Linked DNA regions of Tamandua tetradactyla. The protein of the gene in region 1 interacts with the protein of each later gene in a pairwise test. Links are inferred from orthologs where the notes say so. Each region holds a gene or a part of one and is shown on either strand. Other genes may lie near its edges.

What was found.
Region 2: the proteins of ERICH2 (region 1) and MACROH2A1 interact in binary tests that used the Homo sapiens proteins (3 or more experiments, as listed by UniProt). The two-hybrid records come from large-scale screens. The link is inferred for Tamandua tetradactyla from reciprocal best matches to the Homo sapiens genes ERICH2 and MACROH2A1.

The regions. Positions count from the first base shown.
Region 1 is NC_135329.1:142,355,723-142,359,468, reverse strand, and holds the start of ERICH2 (glutamate-rich protein 2), read right to left. Parts: upstream 2,907-3,746; 5' UTR 2,795-2,906; intron 1-2,794.
Region 2 is NC_135346.1:14,678,477-14,682,222, forward strand, and holds the start of MACROH2A1 (core histone macro-H2A.1), read right to left. Parts: upstream 2,810-3,746; 5' UTR 2,627-2,809; intron 1-2,626. UniProt on the Homo sapiens protein: Variant histone H2A which replaces conventional H2A in a subset of nucleosomes where it represses transcription. Nucleosomes wrap and compact DNA into chromatin, limiting DNA accessibility to the cellular machineries which require DNA as a template.

The DNA.
Region 1 (3,746 bases):
GACTCTGTGTTTCATCTCTTAGCTTAGAATCTCTTAATATCTGTCTGGTTTCACTTCTCTGTTCATTGTTTCAGCTCTGAGCTCTTTTTATGTTTTCTACCTTTTATTCTCTTTATATAGGGCTCCAGCAAAAGGATTAAGACCCAGCTTGAATGGATGGGATCACATCTCCATCTAAGCAAAAGATTTTACCCAGGGTGGTGCAATGGTGGCTCAGTGGCAGAATTCTTTCCTGCCCATGCCAAAAAAAAAGGTCCCACCCAAACAACATGTCTGCCCCACAATCCTGGATTAGGATGAAAAGAACATGGTTTTTCTGGGATATATAACAGTTTCAAACCAGCGCAGTATGTATTCTGTTTTTGTACTTAGTAGGATTATTTCCATCCTAACTGTAAACCCTCATCCCTCTGGATTATGAAGTAGGTTTTTAAAAAGTGCATGTTCATTACTATTGATGATAGTTAATCTTACCAGCCCTTTCAGTCTCTACTTCGTTCATTCTCTGGGTTTTGAAACATGGGCTGACTCCCCTGATATGTTTCAACAGTCTTGGTGACTGGGTGGATGACACTGAAGGAAAGAAGACAGGAAGTGGAGAAGATGAAGAATTGGAAACACAGAGGCAGAACGAGTGGTGAGTTTGGCAGAGCAAAGAGAAGGTAAGTCACAAATTGCTGATGAAGGGTTGAAAGAGTCCAATCAACAAAGCTGCCCCTAAACAACTTTCCAGTTCCAGAATCCAGCTCTGAGGCCTGTTCTCCAGGTTTCATGTATTCCCAAGTATTATAATTTCCACAGGTATCCTCACCATGGACATTGTCTGCCTATAGACCCCTTCCTCTTACTTGGTTAACATATCCAGCCAACTGAACAAAAGGGTATGTTCTGTCCCAAGACAGACCAATAATAGTAACTCATAAGCTAACACAGTGATTGGATCCAGCAGTGGGCATGTGATTCAAGCTACATTCATCAGTCTCTTTTTCTGAGATTTTTTTCAAGTGGAAACATCACAGTGGTAGAAGACTATGAGTCCTGGTCTCCCGTCCCAGCAGCCATGGTTCTAGCTTCCAGGAAAGAGCTGGCCTGAGGGAATGAAGCAGAGTACACCAAAAAACCAGGAATGATAGATGAAGAGAGAAGGGGGAAGTGGCAGAGAGCAAGAGAAAGATACACATACATAACGCTGATTATGTCTGAGTCCCTGTTTACAGCTCAACCTCTGCCCTTACCACAGTCCAATTAATTTCTCTTTTTGCCTAAGCATGTCTGCGTTGTTTCTGTCACTTAAAATCAAAAGAAACCTTGGCTCCTATTTCTCAAAACCAAAAAAGGCTAACATTCCTGATATCATGGAATACGAGCTACAATCCTAGAATTATCAGCCCTGTGTGAGCACAGAGTGAGGCATGATTGATTCCACCTGCTTTAAGAGGCAGACCTGCACCTGGTTTCACAATGAAGATGGCATTTACCTAAGTTTTGCTGTGCAATGAGTCAGTCAATAGAAAGGGGGAAGAATAGCTCAGGTGCGTGTTAGAGAGTGACAGTACATGAAGTTAGAAATGTATGGTGGGGGTCCTTGGCAAGGACAGTTGTGGGTGAACTCTAAGGAAGGGAGATTGTTCTAAGTGCACAATTGAGACTAGAAAGGGCAAAGAAGAAGGAGGAAAACCCACTGAGGATGTAGGGCAGTTGGTGGAGGTGGTGGCTGAGAGAAGCTTTGGAATTCTGGTATGGGCGCAATGGAATCCCAACAAAGGTACTGGAAGTTAGCTCGGGGAAAACGCTAACACTTAAAGAACGATACTGTTGCGTGTAGTCCCCGCCCCACCCCCCCGCCCCCGAGATTAAAAAAGCACAAACAAAAACGACTTCAATTAGCAAATAAAATAAAGCAATTTAAAATAACTGGAATTTGGGTTCACTGCATTTGTTTTCATAAGAATGAAGCAAATCAAGACATCTTCAGTGCTTTTTTCACACTTATTTTAAAAAAGCAATTTTCAGGGGCCTCGTTCTTGGGATAAGAACAAATTCAGCCAATTCACCTATATACTTTGGGAAAATGAAAAATAAACTTCTTATTATTCCATATGTTAATTTAAATGCTATGGGGCGGGGGTAGGGGTGGGAGTTAAACTAGTTTGCTAGTTTGAGCAGCCCAAAGACCACAGTATCAAGTCAATTGCGTCATCTCACAGACAGTTGACAACTGGGCCTTAGAAGCGATTCGTTGTTCAAACACCTCATTTTGCAGATGAAAACAAGGACCGTACGGTTAAAAGTTTTTACAGCCGAGCAAGTTACTTCTGGAGAGTAGTGATGTCTTAACTGCAGCCAGGGAGTGTTCATCATTATTGGCCATTAAGCTGTTTCCAAAAAAATGTTAAGAGTGTTGAGGGGTGGGGAGGAGCAGGAAGGACGCTCCTCCTTATTTTCATTGATTTTGGGGAGGGGGGGCTGGGATTGCCGCGTACGAATCGGCAGATCAAAGAATGGGGTGTAGACATGCCTGGCAGAACTCTCCAGTTATCATTCACACTTACGTAGACACAAACATCCCCTCCTCAGCGCACGACTGCAGAGCAGGCGGAGCGCGAGGCATACCTGCAGCCGCGTGAATACCACCCTCGCGGGTGGCCCCACGCCGGCTGCTGGGCCGCAGAGCCCGAACCTGGAGCGGGCAGAGAAGTTGGTGGATTCACGCGCGCCGGGTGCGGAGAGTTCTAGTTGAGGCCTGGGACGGGCTGGGGAAAGGGCAAGCAGCAGTGGCCGCGGCGCCACTTACCCACTGGTAGCCGTCTCACGCCGACCACCCGAAGGGCAGACACGCAAGGCCAACCCAGCTCCCGGCTGACGCGGGCTACGGAACTAGTAGCTCTGGACGCCGTGTCACCCTGGAGACAAGACCGTGCGTGGGCGGAGTCCGGGGAGTAGAGAAGGGGCGGGGGCGGGGCGGGACGGGGGCGGGGGAAGATGGGAAGAGGCTGGGACAGCCCTGGGAGGGAGCAGAGGGCGTGGACCCCCGACGGAGCAAGCTCCGGGAGCTGGCAGAGGGGTGGGGCAAGCGGCTGGGGTCGCTGAGATCCCTGAGGTCCCCGGGGTCCGGCCGAGCCGAGGGTTGGATACACACATCCTCGGATGCAAGTCAGCACGCGCACCGGTTACTTGAGAAGTGGGGAAGGCAGGAGGATTGGAATGTCCATGTTCACACCTGGCCCTGTGTTTAGCGGGGAGAGGGAAAGAGGCGGGGTCGCCTCGTTAGTAGTTTAAACTTGTGGAGTAAAACGAGGCCCTTGAGTAGGAACTCGCCCGAAGAGATCATTGGGTTTCCTGAGAAACTCTGGACTTCAGTTTTCCCAGAAAACAGATGAATGATTAGAACCAGAGAACCACCTCTCCCACCAGCCAGGGATAGGTCTGGGTTTTCTGTAGGCAGGGGCTGCTGCTCTGTAGGTTGAGGAAATCAAATTGACATAGGCCAATGGCTGGTATTACTGTTTAAATAACTGCTTTGGTCATAGAAAAGGGTGGGGGAGTTTTTCAATTAGAAAATTCTAATTGTCCCTCAAACTTGTCGTCCAGGAAGGAATTAGTTGTTTTCCCCACTTGGGATGGGGGAAGACATTAGGATCTATTTGTAGCTCGCTCGGCAGCATGTTTTGACGGGAGCCTTTGTTGGGATTAAATCTAGGTTCGAATTTATATAGTAGTCACAGGATCTGAGGTCCAATCTCTGT
Region 2 (3,746 bases), on another chromosome or scaffold:
GTAAAGATTAAATCCCTCAATGTGGTTATGATTAGGATTCTTTGCAATCTGTCCCATTTGCCCCTCCAGTCTCATCTAATTTCCCACCAGGTTCCTGCCATCCTGATCCACATATGACCTGATTCCTGTATGACCTCAATTTTCTTTCTTCTAAGACTTAGCACATGTGGTTCCAAAAGCTTCAAATGCTTGCCCTCACCTACCCTCCTTTGGCCAATCAAGTTCTACTTGGCTTTTCCATGTCAGGTAAGGGCTCATTTTCCACTGTTGGCCCCTGCACTGATGGCATAACAACTGCTTGCCTGCCTTCTCCTAAAATCAACTTCCTAAGTGGGGGAACAGGGCTTTTTTTGATCATGGCTATGTCCCCAATGCCTGACACACAGTTGACCCTCAGGAATATATATCGAAAGAATGTAAGACATCACTCTGACAGGCTTTGTCCAAGCAAACAAGGTATTCAACTTCTTGGAATAAATAGCTAACCCACTCAGGCTCACTTATAAGAGATGAGGCAGGGTTCAATGTATCTCTAAGAGGGACCCATAGGACAAGTCTGGGCTCCACTCACCATTTCCTAGCAAGGTTCCACGAATGGGGCTCTTAAAAGGCCTACACAAACCCTGGGGGAGGGAGGGGGCAGGTGAACAAGGACGAGAGACTGCTGCAATTCCAAAGAACACCACATACAGATTCTTATTAGGTACTGTCGGCTGGGGTTATCAGTTTGTGCTTTGTTTATTTAAATAAATTTCCTTTCAGCAACTTGGGGCAATATTAGCCCCAGAGGTATTACAGGCAGGTCCCAGAGTACATGTACTCAGACCGACTCTACGGCGAAGAGATGAGGGGCTCTCCCAGAAGTTCTGCTGTCTCCTGGACCAGGAAAGAAAAAAAAAAAGGCAGACTGAGATGCCCCACCACCTGGCCCTGGCCCATTTGATATAAATCAAACCAGTGACTTATAGTTGTGTATTAGAATATCATATGTGATGTTCTAAACAATTTTCAAAGTTTACTAAAATGTTACCCATTCTGCCTCATTCTAAAGACACTGCCTCTAATAATTTTCATTTACCTCTCCACCCATTCCTCCTTAATGCCCATATTGAGGAATCAGCATTAACAAACTGACATTAAAAACAAAATCACAGACCAGGAAGGCGGGTTTAAAGTCTTGAGGGTTGTTTTGCTTTGTTTCATTTTTTTAAGGAAAAAAAAACAAGTTTAAAACATCCATCCTTATCAGAGGTTTTCTTGTGCAATATTTAAACACTGCCCAACTTTGATTAGATGTGCACAAGGGGTATTCATTCCAGTTGCAGGCGTGAGCTGTCCATTTCAGATTTAACACCTATGACAATATTACCTAAAGATGGCCTAGTGTGGATTCCACCTAATTTACAATTTGAGTCTCCCACTCAAACCTAAAGCTACTCAAAACTCCCTGACTCCCTGAAGAAAGCACTTCCTTCCCTGTCTCCTTAAGGGTAAAACCTCAAACCACCAAGGTGTGTGAAAAGAGGGAAGTGTCCCTTTTATGGTCTATTCTCAGATTCCGTTTATGGGATCATTAAAAATCTTACAAGGACTACATGGTAATTGTAATTGTTGAATTCAAAGTTTATCTCAGCTGTTTGCAAGGAAGTCTCTCACTTTTAAACTCTGAAATATTTTCCCTAGCATCTTATCTAAAAGAACCTTTAACAAAAGCAATCTACTGGCAAGATTCTTGAGTAATCTGTGGTCTCTGCAGGAGTGGGGGTGGGGCGCGCTATCTCGCACACCTGTTGTCAGGTGACCCAGTAGGCAGAACCCTGCTCAGTAGCCTCCCCATCCGACCCCACCCCAGCGAGTCTCTTCCCTGAGTTACCTTAAAAAAAATTTTTAAAAAGCACAACTCCCAAGCACAAAGCAAACAAAAGGCCAATGGGGAGACCGGCTAGAGCAACGGGGGTTCTCGTGCCCCTCTCTAGTCCATCCTCAAACAAGACTCCCCCCACCCCACGCCTCCCCTCCGCCCCAGCAGGCTTCGATCCCGCGAGAACACCCCCCTCCCCCACCCCCACCCCCACCCCCACCCCCACCCCCAGCAGATACTGAGCCCGACGCCCACACCACGGCCCCCTGGGTCTTGGGCTCGATTTATTGTGCCGGGGACGGCAACTCGCTGGCCGGAGGGCGCCTCACCAAGTCCAACTCCGCGCACAACGGCTCCCGGGCGCCCAAGCCGGCCAGCCAGTGCCGCGGGGCCTCCTCCGGCCCAGCCCATCCGTCCACACAGGACAGGGTCCGCCGGGAGAGGGGCCAGAACTGTCCCCTTCCCACAAAAGCGCCAAGGCGAGGGCAGGAGAACGCGTTTGTGAGAGAAGTTGGTTTCCGGGTTTGCTGTGTGAACAAAACCAACAGGAATCCCGCGCGGCCCGGCGGGGCCTGGGAGGGCGCCGGGCGAGCATGAGGCCCCGGCGTGGGCCGTGCCAAGCCGGGCGGCCAGAGCCCAGCCGAGTGCCGCCCGGGTGCACGCGAGGCCGGGCCGCTCCCAGGCACCGCGGCCGAAAGGCGCGCGACGGCCGGCCCCGGGCTGCGAGGAAAAGGCGCGCGGCGAGGGGGTCCGCTCGGCACTTACGGGGCGGCTCGGCGGCGGCGGCGGCGGCAGCTGCAAGGTGTCTCGGCCTGTGCCCTCTCGGCCGCTCGCGCCTTTTCTCTCCGCGCTCCTCGCTGGCCCACCCGCCTGCCTCCTCGTTTCCCGCCCGCTCGCCCCCTCCGCCCGGCTTCGTTGCCGAGTGAACTGGAACCAGTAGCCGCGGCCCCGGGATTCCCACAATGCACAGCGCGCCGCTCGTCACATCCCATCCCGGCCCCGCGCGTCCGGCCACCCCTCCCCGCGCAGCCCGGCCAACCCGGCCTTGACCCCAACCCCGCGGCTGCGTCCCGCGCTCAGGCCCTTGGCTGTCACTCGGTGTGTCCCAGGAATGCAAGCTCCGGGACGCTCCTTGAGCGAAGTCCTTGGAATAGGCCCGGCCCCCGAAGAAGCGCTCTTCCAAGGCGCGTCCGTGCTTCTGGGTCTCCAATAACAATGAACCCACTGTGTGTCTGGTCCTCGGCACGACACTTTCGCTGCTCATCCCTAGGAAGTTTCCCCTTATACCCAGGGAGGACGGCACAGTTGCTGTTACCACAGAGCACTTTCCCCTTCCCAACCAACCACGAAGCTCCCGCGCACCTCAGCGCCCCCGCGGTCCTGGGATATAAGGCACTAGTCCTGTCTGCCCCGTGGCTGCACGGCCAGCTGTCCCGGAGTTCTTCCTGGTCCCCTGCAGAAGTTCGGTCATGTTGTGCGCCTTAAAGCGGTTAGCTACTTCGATTCAGCAAACGTTCGCTATTGGACTCAAGTTGGGATTTACTAATACGAACAGTGATTTTTGTCATCGCACACATTTTTTAAAAACTGCGGTCAAGCAGAAGGACGAGGGGCCGCCGCAAAGCTCATCCCGGTATTCCTAAATCGGCTGTTCGCCCCAACGCATTAGTGCCCCACCCAGTTACTTAAATTGGATCCTCTCTTCTGCTCCAACCACCAACACCGGAATGTGGAAATGGTCCCCTCCCGCTGCGGACCAAATTTGCATAAAAATACAAACCCCGCAGGGTTGATGTGAAGTTTAAATGAGGTCTCTGAGCTTAGATGCGCTGCTGGGGGTCGTGGAGGTAATCAAAGCCCTCAGGCTGCCTCTGAAAAGCAGGTG